Oryctolagus cuniculus: one gene and its partner. The protein of the gene in region 1 purifies or fractionates together with the protein of each later gene. This does not show direct contact. Links are inferred from orthologs where the notes say so. Each region holds a gene or a part of one and is shown in the gene's direction. Other genes may lie near its edges. The genes, in order: NKX2-1 and FOXA1.

Region 1 (10,114 bases):
GACGCAGCGGCGCTGGCCCCGCTGAGTCTGCGGGAGGCCTCCCGTCCGCGTTGGCCACCTCCTGCCGATCCCTCTCCTCTCTGCTTTGTGAATGGCTCTCCACCTTAGCTCCTACCCCTCAGGTCTCTCCCCACCAGGGGGCGCACCTGGAGCTGGTGGCGCGGGTGTGGTCCCTAAATACAACTCGAGGGCTTGAGCTGCGTGGCATGGAAATAGGTAGGTTTCGAGATGGCAGATGTGGTCCTCCCCGAGGGCCTGGCCTTCGTGGACGCCCCCTGACCGCCATCCCGACCCCAGAGCACGCCAGCGCTCGACAGGAAGGCGCAGGAACCATGCCTCCAAGTCCCGGGGCCGCTTCGCGTACCCCATCCCCACTGCCCGGAGGCCACGCCTTGGGAAAAAGGCATCCCCCAAAAGGACCATCAAGGATCCCACTGAGGAGAGAGGGCGCCTGCGAACGCCGCGCGGCTGCACACCTCGCGGGTACTCCCTGGGAGCTTCCGGTTCTGGCGCCTGGGAAAGCAGCCCGGAGAGGGCCCCGTGAGACCCCATCAAGGAGAGGCGGCAGCCGCTGGATCTCAGAGTTGGGGAGCAGCGCCCCCCAACGCCCGGCTGCGTCCCTGCCTTCTGCCCCGGGGTAGGTGGCCTCGAGGGCGCTCGCAGGCCTGCTAGCCCAGCCCGGGAGCCTGCACCTGACGGCGGGAGTGTGGACACAGCCTCTAGAGAATATTTGAGCAAGGAGACCGCTGAGACTAGGTACACTGGGGCCCTGCATCTCTGGGCAGCTTTTCCCTCCAACTCCTCCTCCGCCCTGGGACTCTTGCCAAGGCCATTCCTGCCCTGCCTCCCCCTCCCACCCCGCTTCTATAACCCCCAAAAAGCAGAGCGTAAAGAACTCCTCTTTGCCAGACATAGTTTACAAACTCGGACATCAGGTTTCCTCCTGCGTTACCCGAATCCCCAGCTCAACAAATCCGGGAGGGTACGTACACAGGGTAGGTTCCAACCATTGCTGCAGCCCCAGGCACAGGTGCTAAGAGACTTCCTTAAGATTTCTCCAGGCACGCAGGGATAGATCAAGGGGAATCTCGCCCTCAAAGAGGGAAGCCTGAACACATTAGTTTTGTTGCAGGGTGTGGCGAGAGCCAGGAAAGCAAAGCTGCACAACCAGAAAACCCGCAAAGCCAGGCCTCGCACCCTGACTTCATGTGTACTTCCCACAACCCCGGAGCGTGGGAGCACCGGGAAATGGTGCCGACATTCTTTACGACCCATCTCGTTGAAATTCCGCAGTAACACCTGTCATACAGTAACGACGTCATACCTGGGTGCTTTTTGTGATTCATTTGAGAGTCCTGTGTGCGTGGAGCCACATCTAGACGGTCTATAGCTGGATCTGCCCGCCAAGCACCTTGCCTGGCACGGAGCCGTTGCTCAATCAGTATTTGCCCAAAGAAACTAGAATTCCAGTAAAGCCTGGAGCCGAGTCAGTGCCCGCGGAGGTGTGAGGGGCCACGCAGGACGTCAGGAAAAGCAGGCCGGGGACACGAGGGACAGCGGGACAGGTGTTGCGCCCACGTGCCACGCGGTCGAATCACAGACCCCGAATCAGCCGTCTGTGTGCGACCTCTGTTCTCCCCAAGTGACCCAGGGCGAAGGGCAGGAGGAGAAGCATTGCCCTTCTTCTGCGGGTATGAGCGGAGGCTGATGACAGTTCGGCGCCCCCAGGGCGCGTCCTGGCCCGGAGCCGCAGCCAGCGAAACTCAGTGGTTGGGATGGCCGAGGCCGTGTGCGACCGCACCAGGGACAGCTCCACAGCGGGCCAGCGCTGTGTCCCGCCCGCTGGCTCCGCACAGTGCCCACCCCACCCTGGAGCCAGTTAGCCGAGGGATGCGGAAGACAGGGCTCCCCGTGGACTGAGCCACGCATAAAGCCCTGGCTTAAGCGGAGTCTGCCCTATTTAAGATGAGAACCGAGGCAGCCGAAGGAAAAATCTCTCTTGGGTCAGAGGCAGGTGTCGGGGCCACAGGTGAGGCCCCCGAGGCCGTGGCTTGGACACACCAGGAGATACACACGTGTGCCTTGTGGCCTCCAGGCGCCTTCGCGTTGGGCTTATTCTTAGCAAGGCAGCGCGCCTGGGAAGAACGCGGAGCGGTGGCTGCACTCGAAGGGACAGTGGTGGGGCTGGCGCGGGGCCTGGGCCGCAGGGAGCCGCAAAGGCCCAGGCGAGGTCCAGACAAGAGAGAGCCGTTGCTGGTGCGCGCCTGCCCGCGGGGACTCAAGCACAGACCCTGTTGCGCCAAGAGGTCGAAGCGGTGGCAGGTAGGGCCCCACCCGCGTGGAGCGCGGGCGCCCGCTCAGCGCCCCCACTCGCCGCCTGCTCCGTGGTGCCAAGTGCCGGCCTGCGGTCTCGTCGAAAGCTGCGGCCTGGGTTGTTCACGCACTCCCGGGAATGTCCGAGCTGCTAGCCACGTGCGCTCAGAGCCTGCTGCGGAACGAAAGCCCGCCCGAGGCGGCACGACTCCGGGGAGGCCGTGGAGGGTTCATCCACCTCTGCCCTTCCCTCCAGTCCTGAACCCTAAAGTGGGGGAGGGGAAACGTCACGACAGCTACCTGAACGGATTTCACATCTTTGATGTGCCTGATCTCTTTCACACACACACACACACACACACACACACACACACTCCTTGAGAAGATTTTCCATTCCTAACGGCCTTGAGACTAGGAGAGATGTACGACGTCCCACAGTCGGTGCGTCTTACATTTACCAACAAGCATGAAATAATGGAAAGAGAGAGGCTTGGAAACCCAATCTGCCTTCGCAGTAAGACCCCTCCGGGGGCCACAGACCCGCCCAGGGCTCCCCTGCAGATCGGGTCTGCAACTCAGTTTTGCCTGCTCTCTGTCGTCCGCTGGCGTCTCCTCCCCTCCTTGTTTCCAGGGCTTATAAAAGACACCACAGAGACCGAAGCGCGGTGGATAGGGTCTGAGTCCTTCCTAAAGGCGCCCCCCCTCCAGGGAAGCCCCTGGAAGGGGGGAGGGCAGGAGCCAAGCTTCGCTCCTGGTTTTCGAAGGAGCAGCAGCAGCAGCAACAAGCGCGTCCCCACGCGCAAGGTGCACTGTCTCCCGCTCCAAGGCCACCGCCGCTGGGACCTCCAGGCAGTGCAGGCCCAGGCGACCCAGGGACTCCCGAACTTTCTGTGTCTCCCCCTAAGGGAGGTGGCAGGTGAGGAAAGAGAATGTTAACATAGAAGTTAGCTTCGTATTGAGGAAGGACAGAGCACTCTGATAAGCAAACTTTCCCTACTGTAAATGCTTTTAATAATAATAATTTAAAAAAGAGCCTGACCTGCTGAATTAAAAGGTTCAAAACTGCCTGTTCTTCATCAGCGGTTCAGGAAAGTGTGTGTGTGTTGGAGGTGGGGGTGGGGTTGGCGGAGAACCGTGAAAACAAAACAAAAAAACCGAATTCGAGAAGCCTGCTTGACCGACCGCGGAAGGGTCTTGGAGGCACCTGCTGGGCCGAGGAGCGCTCCGCCCCTCAGCCCCCGGCGCGGGGAGGAGGCTCCGACAGCCAAAGGAAAGCAAAACAAAAACAAACAACAAAAACGGTTGCAATCCAAGGGGGACAAGTCGGCATGGGTCTCACAATCTGCAGCACGCAGGGCTCCGTCCGGTAGTCCACTCGGCTGTAGGCTCCGGCCTGGCCGGAATAACCCAGCTGCCGCCCACGGGCCCGCCGGGGAGTGCAGCCCACAGCTCCCCCTCGCCAGGCGCCCAAGGACCCTCAAGGCGCGGGGCTCACACTTGAAGCCTGGGAACGCGCAGACAGGAAACCCACTTCCTCCTAAGCAGTTTCTTGCTCGCTGGATGAGAGGCGCCCAATTGAAGCAGAATGATCCTCATCTACTAATATCCAGCGTGGTCACAAAGCGACTGGCCATTTACGCCGCCACTTTAAACAAAGATATTTGGTTATTCCCGGGGAAGCAAGTGCACTTTTGCATGGCTGAGCTCCGGGCGGAGGCGAGCCTCAGCCCAGCCTGCAGCCCGCGGGGCTGCCTGCGCCTGGGTACCGGCCCCCTCCCGGCCCCGCGGGTCCCGCCTTGGGGCAGGCTCTGCTACACCCCAGCTATAGACGGGCGGGCTCTCTCGCCATCCCCGGCCCGAGCCCTCCCAGAAGCAGAGGAGGGGGAAACAGCGTGGCCGTGGGCTCCGGTGGTGCCGGGGCTGCGATGGCCTGGGCAAGCCTACTCCGGCCCCAGAACCCCGCGTGTCAGGGCTATGGGCAAGGGCCAGGGACGCCAGGTTTGTTTGCGGTGGGGCAACCCCAGTGAGGGACCCCAGTGGGCCCCGCGCCGGAGGCCAGCGTCGCGCCTGCTCGGCGGGGGGTGGGTGTGGGGTGCGGTGGGGAGGGGGTCCTGGTGGGGGGAGGCGGGGAGGGCTGGCCCGCCGAGAAGACCCCGGGCTGGGGGTGGGGTGGCGCGGGGATCCGGACAGCCTCCCGGAGGCAGTCGATCCCCTACTCAGCGCCCCCTCCGCCCGGCGCGATTCTCTCGGGCAAGGGGGGTAGGGGGGAAGGGGGCGGGGAGCAGAGGTGTCCCTCTGACGGCGGCAGAGGAGGCAGACAGACTGACAGACACGTAGACCAACAGTGCGGCCCCAGGGTTCGTCCCCAGACTCGCTCGCTCATTCGGTGGCGACCGGGGCTCGGCGCAGCGAAGCCCGATGTGGTCCCGAGGCAGTGGGAAGGCGCGGGGCTGGGAGGCCGCGGCGGGAGGGAGGAGCAGCCCCGGCAGGCTCAGGTGAAACCCCGCACCCCGTCCCTCGGCCCCCTCCTCCCCGAGATCCGTCCCCGCCCGGGGAACCCCGACCGAATCGTAAAGCGGTTCCACTTTGTAACTCCGCGAGTTGGTTGCAAAGCAGCAGTCACCTTCCTTCCTCCCCGCCGTCCCTCCTCCTCGACTACTCCCCACCCCACCCCACCCCACCCCCTGCCCTCCCTGCTCTCGGCTCCCTCCTCCTTCCCCACCCCCTCCTCCCCGCGCGGCGCCGGCACCCCACAAAATATGGGGGTGGGGGTGTCCAGGGGAGGGGGAAGGCAACGCTTTGGGTCTCGTCTCAGCCTCTCTCTCCTCTCTCCTCTCTCTCTCTCTCTCTCTGTCTCCCCTCTCTCTCCCTGAGACCTAAAAATCCTGACAAGTGAAACTTAAAGGTGTTTACCTTGTCATCAGCATGTAAGCTAATTATCTCGGGCAAGATGTAGGCTTCTATTGTCTTGTCGCTTTAGCGCTTACGCCCCGCCTCTGGTGGCTGCCTAAAACCTGGCGCCGGGCTAAAACAAACGCGAGGCAGCCCCCGAGCCTCCACTCAAGCCAATTAAGGCGGACTCGGGCCACTCCGTTACGTGTACATCCAACAAGATCGGCGTTAAGGTAACACCAGAATATTTGGCAAAGGGAGGAAAAAAAAAAAAGTAGCGAGGCTTCGCCTTCCCCCTCTCCCTTTTTTTTCCTCCTCTTCCTTCCTCCTCCAGCCGCCGCCGAATCATGTCGATGAGTCCAAAGCACACGACTCCGTTCTCAGTGTCTGACATCTTGAGTCCCCTGGAGGAAAGCTACAAGAAAGTGGGCATGGAGGGCGGCGGCCTCGGGGCTCCGCTGGCGGCGTACAGGCAAGGCCAGGCGGCACCGCCGGCCGCGGCCATGCAGCAGCACGCCGTGGGGCACCACGGCGCCGTCACCGCCGCCTACCACATGACGGCGGCGGGGGTGCCCCAGCTCTCGCATTCCGCCGTGGGGGGCTACTGCAACGGCAACCTGGGCAACATGAGCGAGCTGCCGCCGTACCAGGACACCATGCGGAACAGCGCCTCCGGCCCCGGATGGTACGGCGCCAACCCAGACCCGCGCTTCCCCGCCAGTAAGTGAGGCCGCCCCAGTGCGGGGCCGCGGGCTAAGCACAGGAGGCGCCGCACCGGCCGGCTAGGCGCTGGCCAGCAGGGCGTGCGGCCGGGCAGCGGCGCCAGGGAGTTGGGTGCGGGAGCTGGGGGTGGGGTGGGGGGGAGTGGGGGTCCTCCCCTTGTTAGGCTTGGGGTCCAGGTAGAGGGCACTTGGTTAGCGCTGGGGTTCGGGGGGACAGGTGCTGGCACCCGGGCATCTCCGGTTCTTGGCCAACCGGCTTAGCTCTGCCCCTCGCGGAAGCCCTGGGAGAGCCCAGGGAGGCGACCTCCAAGCCGAGAGAGCGGGAGCGAGCAGAGCGCCGAGGGGCTAGGCCTGGCTGGGAAGGGAGGCCGTCCCGCTGGGACGCACTCAGGAGCCCGGCCCGTCGGGGTCTGGGCAGGTGGGAGGGTGACCGGCTCCGGAGGGGGCCCTAAATGGGCCGAGCAAGTGCACTCTTTGGGGCCTCCTAGAGAAAGCCAAGAGGCAAAGCGTCTGGGAACTCGAGCTTTACGAAGTGAATACCCCTCTTCTAACCGCCCAAAGTCTATGGTCAGACCCCAGCTCCCGACCGGAGCTCAGGTCACCGCCTGCGGCCGGCGAACCCTGTCCGGTGCCTCGGACTGGCACTGGGCGCGAGGGAAGCAGGAGCGGCCTCTCCCCTCGCTGCACCTTTTTTGGGTCCAAAGAGCGTACTCAGACTGAGAGGGTAGCCAGGAGCTCGCCAGGAAGCTCTTCGACGGCTCGGCCCTGGGCAGGTGCCTACGAGTCCCCGTGGATGGGCCTCTTGGGCCGGGCGCCGGGCGGCCTGGATGAAGAGAAAGCCGTCGGGGGCGGGCCGGGCAAGCCAAGGCGCGCTGAAGGCGGTGGTGGCCTGGCCCGGCCCGGCCCGGGCCCCGGCCCCGGCCCCGGCCCCGGCCGACGCTGTGCGTTTGTCGCTTACAGTCTCCCGCTTCATGGGCCCGGCGAGCGGCATGAACATGAGCGGCATGGGAGGCCTGGGCTCGCTGGGGGACGTGAGCAAGAACATGGCCCCGCTGCCAAGCGCGCCGCGCCGGAAGCGCCGGGTGCTCTTCTCCCAGGCACAGGTGTACGAGCTGGAGCGACGCTTCAAGCAGCAGAAGTACCTGTCGGCGCCGGAGCGCGAGCACCTTGCCAGCATGATCCACCTGACGCCCACGCAGGTCAAGATCTGGTTCCAGAATCACCGCTACAAGATGAAGCGCCAGGCCAAGGACAAGGCGGCGCAGCAGCAACTACAGCAGGACAGCGGCGGCGGCGGCGGCGGAGGCGGCGCCGCGTGTCCCCAGCAGCAGCAGCAGGCTCAGCAACAGTCGCCGCGCCGTGTGGCAGTGCCGGTCCTGGTGAAAGACGGCAAACCGTGCCAGGCAGGCGCCCCCGCGCCGGGCGCCGCCAGCCTCCAAGGCCACGCGCAGCAGCAGGCGCAGCAGCAGGCGCAGGCCGCGCAAGCGGCAGCCGCGGCGATTTCGGTGGGCAGCGGGGGCGCCGGCTTGGGCGCACACCCGGGCCACCAGCCCGGCAGCGCGGGCCAGTCTCCGGACCTGGCGCACCACGCCGCCAGTCCCGCGGCACTGCAGGGCCAGGTCTCCAGCCTTTCCCACCTGAACTCCTCGGGTTCGGACTACAGCACCATGTCCTGCTCCACCTTGCTATACGGTCGGACCTGGTGAAAGTTCGCCGGGCCGGCCCCAGCCCAGCGCGCCGCCTCACCGCTTCCCTCGCCCGCCACACGGACCACCGTTCTCTCGCTGCTCCACGCGCTTCGACTTTTCTTAAGAACCTATCCCCGTTTAGACCAAGGAGCGGGGGAGGAGACCACAAAGGCCAAACTGCTGGACGTCTGTTTTTTTTTTTTTTAATTTGTGAGTTTTTTTTTTTTTTAAAGAAAATAAAAACAACCAAGCAAATCCAATTCCTTAAGGAGTCTGAACAGCTTGGGGTGGGTTGGGGTCTTTACGGTGATGCCAATGGGTTTCCCACGCTGGGGAGGGATGCAGATTGGAGAGGACTCTAGGTTGACATGGCCCTGGACTCTATAAGGAAGGAAAACTTCACTCTGGGTACACTCTGCCAGCCATGTGGACTCGCTTGTAAATACCAGGATTCTTTTTCCGAAGGGAGGACGGGAGTGGGGAGAGGAAAGACTCTTGGACATAACCCACTTGTCAAAGACACAAAGGAAGTGCCACCTCCCCCAACGCCCTGGCTGGTCTAGGTTCAGCCAGGACCGCCTCTGCAAGCGAAAACTGTTTTATGTTTGATGTGAACTTGTAGCTGTAAAATGCTGTCAAAAGTTGGACTAAATGCCTAGTTTTTAGTAATCTGTACATTTTGTTGTAAAAAGAAAGAAAGAAAGAAACCCAGTCCGGGTCCCCAGCCCCTCCCATTTTTTATGGACATTGACAAATCTGTGGATATTATTTGGCAGTTTGGTATTTGCGGCGTCGGTCTTTTTCTGTTGTAACTTATGTAGATATTTGGCTTAAAATATAGTTCCTAAGAAGCTTCTAATAAATTATACAAATTAAAAAGATTCTTTTTCTGATTAAAAATCCTCCTTTTTGTTTGGTTTTGATTTGGCTTTCAATGGCTGTTGTGGGGCTGGGAAGGGCACATCGTTAGCCTGAACCTGCTGTGGAGGCCGGACGCACAGCCCTGTGGCCCGTGAGAAGAGGGAGTTTTGTTCTGCCTCGGAATTGAGTGTAATCTAATCTTGAGCAGTCCTGGGACTCCCAACTGCTTCCACCAGGAGGGAGATGAGCGGGGAAGAGAGACCAGAGGGCTTGTTTTCAGAACCTGGCTTCCGATGCTTAGAGACCTCGGAACTGTCCCCTCTGATCTTCAGCCAGCCCTGACACCCGCTTTCAGTAACTCAGGATGAACCTTCATTCTTAGGAAAGGCACTGCCCTTGCAGATTGGAACATCAAGCCTTTCTTTCCAGTCTACGACAGAGCCCCTCCAGAGGCCGAATTCGGTGGGAGGCTTCTTTTGAAAGTGGTGACGGGGGATCCAGGGTTTTATTTCTGCTTGAAAGCAGGGATCCCAGCTCAGGGGTCAGCAGTAGCCACACACCCCACCCCACCCCCAGCCTTGCTTCTAGTGGCTGCTCTGGCCCCCGGCAAGCAAGGGACCAGGTAACCAGCAGGAGGACACCAGTGCAGGACTTGGAGAACTGAGGTTTCACTCAGTTGCGTGGGTGTCCATCTCTGGGCTCCGAAATCTTCCCAGCAATGAAGCTGCCCTTTTTCCAACTCTCACCTTCTTGTCCCCCCAACCCCAGCCAAAAGATCATTTTGACTCCTTTCTTCCAATCTAATTGCCTTGTCTGTTCGCACTCAGATGGATGTGTGTAGGACCACTAGGGATGTGATAGAGGCATGGGTGTCAGAGATGACTGTGGCCAGAGAAAACACTTCGTCTGTGGATGGGCTGCTGCCCCCTCTGTCATCCCTGAGGAACCCACCTAGGAAGGGCAGTGGCAGATGCGTCTTCCAGCCCTTTCCTCAAGACCTGCCACCTGCTTGATTGTGGGGGACTAGTTCATGTCAGGCATGCACGACGCACTTCTTGCCTAGATTTTCAACTTTTCCCTTCTTCTCCCCCGCCCCCAACTTTGTCTCTTTTTAGTTCATTCCAGTCTCCATCTCTCTCCCAACCCTGGAAGTTTGTAAGGAAAACAGATGGCTTGCACCCAACAGTTCTCTCTGATGACTTGGTGGTGGTGGTGGTGGTGGGGCTCAGGATTGCGGGCCAGGGAGGGTGGGCTTTGCCTCTCAGAGACCAGACCTGGGTGGGGAGGTGGGGTTTCTAACCTGCAGAAAGGAGGTAGCAGGAGGCACTGCCTGGTTGGCACTAGTGAGATTGCTAGTTGGGGGGGGGGGGATCTCAAATAACCCCGAACAGGCATCAAATTTTGGGAAACAAGAAACCGGAACGTTTGGACACTTGCGCTGGCATGGACCGGGAGTGTGAGTGGCCAAGGCGCACAGCTCAGGCCAGGGCTGGACAGGGGAGGTGGGTGCTGCAGCTGCTGTTTGCCTCTGAGGTCCGGTTTCCACGCGGTGGGCGATGGGCGCTCTGCTCAAGCCGCCCACTGCCCGGCACAAGTCCGGGCAGGGGCAAGGCGGGCAGTGCCCAGCTGAGGTCCCTG
Region 2 (10,114 bases), about 1.1 Mb from region 1:
TCAGAAAGGGACTCAAGTCCTGCAAATCTTATTAGTATCCCAGCAAAAGCAAATACCGCCAAGGAGTCCTCCTGGTAGTGCTGCTGTTGACAAGCAAACTCGCAGCAAGATAAGCTAAGCCGTAGTTTTGCTCTGCGGTCAGTAGGAGAAGGAAAATAGAGCTTCAAACAAATGCAGCACTTTTAAAACAAAAACTTCCTCTCCTGTTAGTGCTGGAGGAGCTGCTGGGAGTTTCAGAAGAGACAGAGCCCTCCAATCGAATTTTCATTTTAAATAGGAGATGTGACCTCCCTCTAGTCACGTCAATAAATTAGTCTTTTTTGTGAGGCCACAGCATGATTTTGAAATTAGGAGGACACTAGGGAAACCAATACAATAAAAAAAAAATACTGACTAGAATGCAATTTTACAGCTTTTTTTTCCCCCAAGTGTAAGCTACCATTAATATGACTGTTACAAAGCATTTGTTAAATAGAACTATGTAAATCCAAGGGTATCCTATTTGTATAGGCAAAGTTAAACCACGAAGGAGAACTGAGGGGCTGTGGGAAAGCTCCTGGGGGTGTGTGTTGGGGGAGGGAAGAATGTGGATTGGAAAGTGTGGTGGTTGGGGTTGCAGAAACTAAACATAGTCCACCCATCAGGAAGGATTTAGTACTAAGCTGCAGGCCTCGAGGCAAGAGATGAAATTCGTTGACTTTTCCATCGTCCGTTGCCCATTAGTGCGAGCTTCTGCCCCTGGGGAGGAACCGAGGTACTCACCCACCTGCACCCAACCTTCCGACCTCCCAGCTCCCGCACACTGGAGCAGCAGGTGGAAAAGCGCTGGGATATCAAAGGCCCTGGGCCCAGTCCCTGACACACAGTAGGACCTCAGCTGCTCTGGTTCTTTCTGCACTAACTCAGACTGAAGAGGCGTCACTTCTCTCTAATGCCCCACCTTCATGGTGAAGCATGGGTTTCCAATTCCTCCCCAGTCCCCTAACACTGGTGTTTTTTAAAACACACGCAGAAAGGCACAGGTAGTGTGGGCACCACGCGGCGAAGACCCTGACCCCCAGCAGCTAAGCAGGAAGGGACTGGCTGGACCTAAGCACTTCCCCCAGCGGGAACTGACGGATGTAAATGAGGCAGTCGGGGTAACTCGGGGGCACAGAAGCCGCGAGAGGCGCGACAGCCGCGGGGACCCGGGCCTGGACTAGCCGGCCGTGCCCCGCGCCAAAGCCCCCGAGAAAGGCAGGTTCCTGTTCTACGCGCGGACTGGTGGGACACTTTTTCCTCCCAGTGCAGAGGATTGCCCAGGAGGTCAAGTCGCCCTTCTCAACCTTTCTCATTTGAATACATGAAAATGTGAGTCGTTTTTGGCAAGACGATGCTCGCTCGCGGCCAGACGGTTTTGTCTCCCTCGGGCGAGGCGGGGTGGGGAGCAGCTCCGGCTCCGGCATCCGGCTGCGGGCGAGCCTGGCCAGCGCACCGGCCCGTGCAGAAACCCGGTGGAGGCTCTGGGAGCAGTCAGGGAAGGGACAAACCCAGTGGCTGTTTTTCTTTCAACAGAACAGGCGAAGTGGTGGATAAGTGTTAAGTGTTGGTCACCCACTCCTACACTCAGACACACACACACACACGCACGCACGCACACGCAGGACGCCGCAGTAGAAGCGGACTCCAAGCAAACACAGCCAGCCAAGGCCCGTCTGTGGTCCCAGGGCCCTTACCCACTGGGAGTCGGACGCCTCGTGTGTTGTGAATTCCTTAATGACTTAACGATGGGAGGGGAGGAAGGAAAGGCAGTGTGAGCGAGGAAAGGAAAGAGAGGCAGCGAAGGAACAGGAGGCTGGGAGTGGGCCCAGTGCTGCCCGCTGCGCGCCACAGGTCCGGGCGGTGATGGCCCCGCGGACACGGGCCAAGGCGCCTCGTGCGGGTGAGGGTGGGATGCAGGAGGCAGACTCCGGAGGCCGCCCTCGCCCGCTGCCCGGGCCCCGTCCCCAACCCAGCGCACACCTCTGCTTTACAACGTACGCTAGTCGCTTCCAACATCCCAGGCCTTCCCCGCTCCAAAGCCGAGCCAGGTCCCAGTCGGGGTCGGCTTTGAACTGGGTTAAAGACCACAGGTCTTAGTTTCCTTGCGTCTGATTCTCCTCGGCGGGAGGAGGACATAAGCTTCTTATCTGGGTGGGGGGTGGAGGCCCGCGGAGGGGCTCGGACCACCCCGCACAGAGAGTGGCTGGACCTGCGGCGGCCGTGACCTGACCACAGCCCCGACGGGGGGAGGGGCGCAGACCCTGCCTTCTGCCCACCCTGCACCCCTCGGAACGACAGGCCTCTCCCTGCTCCTTTCGCCGTCCGCACCCTCTGCTTTGCGCGCTCCAGCTGAGGGTGTGCGGCCGCCAGGGGCTGCCCCGGGGCCTCACGCTGGGAAGGCTAAGCTGCAGCAGCCGAGCTGGGTCAGGGGACCTCGTGCCGCCCCTCGTGCGGGGCCGACTGCACCGGAGCAGGCCCCAGGGGAGTTGCAGTCGCCGCTTCCGGGAAGGGCGGAGCCGCTTCCTCTGCCCTCGGCAGCCCCGAGTTCCCGCGCCCCGCGCGCGGTCCTCACCGCCGGGGCTTCCTGCACTACAGGAGCCCGCCCTCAGCGCTGTCTGGGCGGACGCAGGCTGCCCCAGCCCCATAGGCACCCAGGCGATGTGGCACGGGACGCCCTGGGAGCCGCCACGTGGCTGCTCTCGTTCGTCCCCTGCGCCGGGGCCACCCAGGCGGCCCAGAGCTGAAAAAAGGTCTCGTGCACCCTATTGCCCGCACGTTTGCAAAGCACAATGCTGCAGTGGTGTGAGGGCCTGTTTGGGGAAAGAGGTCAGGAAGGAGCTGGCTTAGGCGGCCACGCAGGTTACCTGGCTGCCCGCTGGCCAGTAGCCTCCTAAGTTTATGGCTGCGTGAACCTCTGTGTTCCAAGTCAAAGGGCGGCTCCGCCACGCTGATTCACCCCTCAACCTCGAAGAGACTGGCCGGCTTGCACCTGGGCACACTACGACTTCAGCTCCTGAAGTTGTCGGGTGTTGTGCGATGCTGCCCCTGAGATGCCACATGCCAGCTCGCCTTGGTGGCCTCTGGCAGGATGCGCGCGGGATTCCAAGCCCCTCTCCCCCGGCGGTGCCGGCTGGGGGCACCTGCCAGGCACTCAGCCTTCCTAGTCTGCGACAGGAGGCGCTGTGTTCGCGCGGATTCCCGGGGCTGCCGACCCGGGAACCCGAGACCTGGACCAAGGCTGTAGGGCTGACTTGTCCAGACCATTGTGCACCCCCAGTCTTGGCCTTTGAAGAAGCCTGGGAGAAACCTCACTTTGGCCATTGCTCTACGACCGACTGGGATATATATATGCGCATATACACGACTTTCTATATAAGTGACTAGGACTTTCTATATATATATATTTGACTTTAAGAAAAAAAGAGAGGCCAGTAGGTTTGGAAACTAGCAGCTGCGGCCAAGCTGTTACTGCCCTTAGAAAAGCCGCCAGTCGTGCTCAACACTGCAGAAGCGCCAAGTTGGAGAATCACCGGGGGCAGGAACAAGGAAGCTCATTAGCCCTGAAAGTCCCCCACACCCGTGTACTTTGCAAATGGAACTGAGGTCCTGCTGCTGACGGGAACTTTGAACAAAAGAAGGAGTTGCTGAGACATATTCACAGATACATTTACACCAAGTGATAGGACCGCCTGGCAGTGACGGGAGCCGGCTCTGGGGAGGGAGCCTGCGCTGCCGAGTTCCAGGTGGATTTAATTTCACTCATGCCTTTCCTGACAATGTGACGTGTCCTCCCTCCCATGCACTTTTTTTTTTTTTAAAGGAATTGTAATCCAATGCTTTTATCTTTTTTATTTCCTTAACTGCACATCTTCACCCTCTCTGCTCCCCTGCTGATTTAAGAGATTTGTTTGGTTCAAGGATTTAACGCGATTCTCTTGCCAGATTTCAAGGAAGAAAGGTTTAAAAGAACAAAGCACGGGGTGGGGGGAATAAGCAATCTGTTTGGAAGACAAGTAAAAACACATTTCTTAAAATGAGATTAATGGCATTTTTAAAACTTGGCAAAACAAGAATAGTTTGCGGGCTCTCACTTTAGACTTTTATTTTATTGCCACTTAATGGAACCCATGGATGTACAGGCAGTACAACACCTGCTTGGTCTCTCTCACGCACACACACACATACTTAGAAAAACACACGCGGAGACACAGCACCTGCCACCAGCTCAGCGCCTGTCACCCAGTCTCCTTCCCCAGGACACGCGGGCACTCCACTACCCAAAAGGAGACTTTCCCACCCATGTCTAGGAGCCGGCTCAGGCCCTGGGGTTCTAGGTCGGCCCCTCCAGGTCACAGAGCCGAGAGCGCCCTGCTGCCAGCCGCCTCTGGCCCGGGCTTGGCGCTGGGCGAGCTGGGCAGACGCGTTCCAGCGCCGGCCCCTGCGAGTCCAGCCGAGGCGCGTGTTGAGAGAGACGTCCCCTCCCCCTGACCTTTCCCTATCAGAAACCAGACGGTCGCCTCCGGCTCGGTCCTCTGAGCTACTGAAGGGGGGCGGGAGGAGGAGCCGGGCAGCGGGAGGACGGCCCGACGTGGGTCCGCCTGCCCTATCACACAGACATCTGCTCTCAGTTTCTTCCTCTTCACGATCGCTAACAGATGACGAGGGGAGTGGAGTGGATCGAGGCGGAAAAAAAAAAAAAGTTATGTCATAAAGATATAAAACGGTGCTGTGACTCACCTGCTCTTAGCCGCAGGTACGAGTTTCGTGGCAGCGCCTCCGCTCTGCTAGCCGGGAGCCCGGGCCGGCCCGACGTCACCGGCTCGGCTGAGTCAGCGACGAGGCCAAATCGGGGCTCTTCCCCTTTCCTAGCCCAGGAGGGAAAGGAAAAATAAAAAGTCTGCATCCTTCAGTCTCCCGGGACTGCACTTTGGGGTCAGGAATCAGGAAAGGTGGGCGGGGTGGGCGTGGGGGGGACAGGGACAGGCAGAAGACCGTACGGGGCCTCAGCCCAGGTCTCGGGCGTGCTGAGCGCCTCCGGGGAGGGGCCCAGGGGTCATTCGGCCCGCACAGTCCCTAAGCTCCGGCCCTTCTCCGGCTACGCGGTTCCCATCCCGAGTCCTCGCCTGCCTGCCCGGCCCCGCCTATTTTTCTTTCTTTTTTTTCCTGTTTTTCCCCCCAAAGGGGGGGCTACACCCCAACGCAACCCCGTTCCCCCTCTTTTCCCGGCCTCCGGGCTTAAACCAATTACACTGCTTTGCAAACAAAGTGAGGGCCGGGTTTGGGGGGAGGGGGCCCGGCGGGAGGGGCGCCGCTCGGCGGCGGCGGCGGCGGCGGCGGCGGCGCGGCGGGGCGGGAGGCGCGGCGGCCGGACTGGCGGGCGGCCGCCTCGCAGGTGCACCTCGGGCTTTGTAGGTGCGAGCGTCTTTGTGCAGCGGACAAATGGGGAGAGGACGAGGAGGTGGGCACTCGGGCGACGTAAGATCCACATCAGTTCAACTGCACTCGCCTCGCAGAGGCCGCCCGCTCAGTTCCCGCCGAGGCGCTCCCCGGCGCCGCGCTCCGCGGCAGCCGCCTGCCCCCGGCGCTGCCCCCGCCCGCCGCGCCGCCGCCGCCGCCGCCGCCGCGCACGCCGCGCCCCGCAGCGCCGGGCTCCCTCCGCCCAGGGGTGGCGTTGGGCCCGCGCGGGCGCTCGGGTGACTGCAGCTGCTCGGCTCCCCTCCCCCGCGCCGCGCCGCGCCGCGCGGCCGCCCGTCGCCTCGCACAGGGCTGCATGGTCGCATCGGGCAGGGTGGCTCCAGGATGTTAGGGGCTGTGAAGATGGAAGGGCATGAGAGCAGCGACTGGAACAGCTACTACGCGGACACGCAGGAGGTGAGAAGCGGGCGGGCGGCGCGGCGCTCCCAGTGCCCCAGTCGGGGGAGGCTGGGGCCAAGTGGGCGCCGGGCAGGGCGGGCGGCGGCGGGCGGGCAGGGGGCGTCGCCTCGGTGCCCCGGGTGCATTCTGCGGCCGGCCGGATGGTGGGGGACGGCCCCGCGGGCGCTCGGGACCCGGGCGCTCGCAGCGGGCGAGAAGAGTTTTAGGGAACTCCAGGCTTGAAAAGCAGCGCTCCGGGAAGTACTTGGCGCTTGCCCGCGGAGAGCGGGAGCCGAGCCCGGCCGGGGGGCCACGGCGGGCGGGCGGGCGCCGGCGCGGGCTGAAAGCAGCTTCGAAACCCAGAGCCGTCCCGCCGTGTAACAATCGGGCATCTTCTGGTGAGAACGCCCTGCCGCTCGTTTGGGCGTCTAGAGAGTGAAAACGATTCCTCAATTTTACAAAACTTGTTCTTCAAAAGCCCTGTTCGGGGAGAAGCGTGCTCCTTCGTCTCCAGAACCGCTGGGTGGCGCTGGTGCGAGCCGAATCTTTTTCCAGAACTCGGGGCCAAGAACCTGTTTCTCTTCATTGTCCCCTTGGTGGCACGTTCGTGGGGTTTATTTTACAGTGCTCACAAAAGGACTGCGAAGCCACCAGGTACAGGCAGGACTGCCACCTACTAAAAGTATTTTTCTACGAACAGCTGGCGATACCCCCCCCCCCTCAAAGTTTGATTAGCATCATTGAAAAGACTTGCTGGAATTGTCTTGGATAATCCTGAGAAGACGAAAAGAAAATAAACGCCAAAGTAGAAAATATCTTAAGACGTGGACAGAAAAAAAGCTCGAAATCAGGAAATATTCTCAAGGCAATTGGTTTGTGTGTGTTTCTGGACTCCCAGATTTACCTGAGTGCATTTGCACGCCTTACCTTAAGGGATGTTGCTACTTAAATCGAATTGTTCACCACTTAGGATTTCTCTTTAAGTCACAGTTGCTGATGAAAATCCTTGCGAGGAATCATTACTCTTTGTTAAATTATCAGACAGTTTTTAGCATCGCTGGGCTCTGCGTTTTCCCAAATGGCTGTGGATGGGTTTTAACCAGCTGATGGTTTTTAGAAACCCTCAGAACTCTTAGGTTTAACGATGATGCAGACATCTCGACCCACCACAGTTACGACCTCTAAAGAACCTTCTGTTCCTTTAAAACTGAGAATTGGGAACTAGAATATAGCCTGAGGAGAAAATAAGTCGAATTTGATCTACAGATTTAAAAATATTTGAAACTACTCCTGTAGTGTCAACCGCCGGGCTTTAAAAATGATCAGCGGCAATAGATCAATATTTAGGGGTGGGGGTGTGTGTGATTATTTCAATAAATTGTGCCTCCGAAATTGTCAAACCCTGCGGGACTGGAAATCCTAGCAAAACCCATGCAAGTTTTTGAACGGCCTGCAGAGGTGCGAACCGGTAGTTGTGACAAAGTTAAAATGCACGCGGAGAGTTGTGTCAGGCAGCGCTTTCCCCCTTCTATTGAAGATCTGTTGTTACTTTTATCTCCCAAAACTGACTTCTGTGTCTGCGTCCTCTTTAATATTACAGTAGCTACAAGAAGGCGGAGCACTCTGCTGCTATACTCTCAAAAAGTCATCATTTGTCAAAAAATAAAAAATTTTTAAAAACCCTCCTAAGATCATCAAGGCCATCAAGTTGCTGGGAAATTAGTGGGTCAGGGCCTCCGACGGCTGCCGGCTCTGCTCCGGCAGGGACTTCGTTAACAGCCGCCTGGCACCCCCGAGCCTGCGGCGCGGCGGTAAGGGCCAGGCCGGAGCGAGGTGGGCGCAGGGGCTGGCTTCTGCGGCCCGCGCCGCGCACGCAGGGCGCCCTAGGGGGCAAGTGAAAAAGCAGAGTATTCTGCTGTCCGAGTTCTACAGACGCTTTGCCCCCAAAGGGCGCTTTGCCGAGGCTGGTCCGGGGTATTGACTTGGGCTACCGCCTGGCGCTGGATGGAGGAGGCGGGGAAGGCTCCCCAGGCCTGGCGCGTAAGGCGATTACACATCTTCCCAGGGACATATTTTCTGTGTGCGCTCGCCTTTCATGCCTGCCGCGCTGGGATGGTCCCCCTGCGGTGCAGGACATCTTGGCTCCGTCTGGGGAGAGCGCCCAGCAGTTGGCCCCGGGTGTGTGTGCGTGCATGGGGATGTGGGGTGGGGAGGGGGTCGTTGCGTGCTTGGCAGGCGTGCTCTCCCGGGCTGGCCCCCTCCCCTGGCCGGCCAGACGACCCCCCCCCCCCCCCGCGTCCAGCGCCCACCTCTAACCCCGCCCTTCGGGGCCTCTTGGCTCGCTGTCTCCGCTCCAGGCCTACTCCTCCGTCCCGGTCAGCAACATGAACTCGGGCCTGGGCTCCATGAACTCCATGAACACCTACATGACCATGAACACCATGACCACCAGCGGCAACATGACCCCGGCCTCCTTCAACATGTCCTACGCCAACCCGGGCCTGGGGGCCGGCCTGAGTCCTGGCGCGGTGGCCGGCATGCCTGCGGGCTCGGCGGGCGCCATGAACAGCATGACGGCAGCGGGCGTGACGGCAATGGGGACGGCGCTGAGCCCGGGTGGCATGGGCGCCATGGGCGCACAGCCCGCAGCCTCCATGAACGGTCTGGGCCCCTACGCGGCCGCCATGAACCCGTGCATGAGCCCCATGGCGTACGCACCGTCCAACCTGGGCCGCAGCCGTGCGGGCGGAGGCGGCGATGCCAAGACGTTCAAGCGCAGCTACCCGCACGCCAAGCCGCCCTACTCCTACATCTCGCTCATCACCATGGCCATCCAGCAGGCGCCCAGCAAGATGCTCACGCTGAGCGAGATCTACCAGTGGATCATGGACCTCTTCCCCTATTACCGGCAGAACCAGCAGCGCTGGCAGAACTCCATCCGCCACTCGCTGTCCTTCAACGACTGCTTCGTCAAGGTGGCGCGCTCCCCCGACAAGCCGGGCAAGGGCTCCTATTGGACGCTGCACCCAGACTCCGGCAACATGTTCGAGAACGGCTGCTACTTGCGCCGCCAGAAGCGCTTCAAGTGTGAGAAGCAGCCGGGGGCTGGCGGCGGGGGAGGCGGCGGCGGTGCCAAGGGCGGCCCCGAGAGCCGCAAGGACCCTTCGGGCGCCGCTCACCCCGGAGCCGACTCGCCCCTGCACCGGGGGGTGCACGGGAAGGCCGGCCAGCTAGAGGGCGCGCCGGCCCCCGGGCCCGCCGCCAGCCCCCAGACTCTGGACCACAGCGGGGCTGCGGCGACAGGGGGCGCCTCCGAGTTGAAGGCTCCGGCCTCCTCGTCTGCTCCCCCGATAAGCTCTGGGCCCGGGGCGCTGGCGTCTGTGCCCCCCTCCCACCCGGCCCATGGCCTGGCCCCTCACGAGTCCCAGCTGCACCTGAAGGGGGACCCCCACTACTCCTTCAACCACCCTTTCTCCATCAATAACCTCATGTCCTCCTCGGAGCAGCAGCATAAGCTGGACTTCAAGGCCTACGAGCAGGCACTGCAGTACTCGCCCTACGGCGCCGCGCTGCCCGCCAGCCTGCCCCTGGGCAGCGCATCGGTGGCCACCAGGAGTCCCATCGAGCCCTCAGCCTTGGAGCCAGCCTATTACCAAGGTGTGTATTCCAGACCCGTCCTAAACACTTCCTAGCTCCCGGGACTGGGGGTTTGTCTGCCACAGTCGCGCTGGTAGCAGGAGAGGAAACAAAACAAAACAAAACAAAGCAAAAAAAAAAAAAGCCAACAATAAAACAAAACAAAAACTCACACACACCAAACTGACAACAGCATAAATTCCTGACAGCTATTTTATTTCTTTTCTCGTGCACAATCTTTCCCCCAGTGCAAAGGACTGTTACTTTATTATTGTATTCAAAACTCATTGTGTACATTATGACAAAACCAACCAATCCCCAAACCAACAAGTTTTTTTCCTGGGACGTTGGATGATCCACAAGAGTGTGTGTGTGTGTGTGTGTGTGTGTGTGTGACTCTCCTTCCTTTTTCCTTCCTTTCTGTCCTCTTTCCTCTTCAGACATATTCTAGTCTGGGCAGGGTTTATTTAAAAAAAAAGTGGTCAAGTTTGTAAAATATTTGTGCTTACACACACACATGCGTGCACACACATGCACACACACAAGTTTACAGGTCTGTGGCAATACTCTTAAACCCTAAGAATGGAAGTGAAGAAACAGGCAG

What was found.
Region 2: the proteins of NKX2-1 (region 1) and FOXA1 purify together in Homo sapiens (affinity purification with western blotting; 3 studies listed by BioGRID and IntAct, with this or other methods). This does not show direct contact. The link is inferred for Oryctolagus cuniculus from reciprocal best matches to the Homo sapiens genes NKX2-1 and FOXA1.

Annotation. Positions count from the first base shown.
Region 1 is NC_091443.1:39,102,227-39,112,340, forward strand, and holds NKX2-1 (homeobox protein Nkx-2.1), read left to right. Parts: upstream 1-4,563; 5' UTR 4,564-4,731; coding exon 4,732-4,808; intron 4,809-5,354; exon of another isoform or gene 5,355-5,438; intron 5,439-5,539; coding exon 5,540-5,925; intron 5,926-6,887; coding exon 6,888-7,633; 3' UTR 7,634-8,517; downstream 8,518-10,114. UniProt on the Homo sapiens protein: Transcription factor that binds and activates the promoter of thyroid specific genes such as thyroglobulin, thyroperoxidase, and thyrotropin receptor. Crucial in the maintenance of the thyroid differentiation phenotype.
Region 2 is NC_091443.1:37,967,842-37,977,955, forward strand, and holds the start of FOXA1 (hepatocyte nuclear factor 3-alpha), read left to right. Parts: upstream 1-5,630; 5' UTR 5,631-5,820; coding exon 5,821-5,892; intron 5,893-8,231; coding exon 8,232-9,566; 3' UTR 9,567-10,114. UniProt on the Homo sapiens protein: Transcription factor that is involved in embryonic development, establishment of tissue-specific gene expression and regulation of gene expression in differentiated tissues.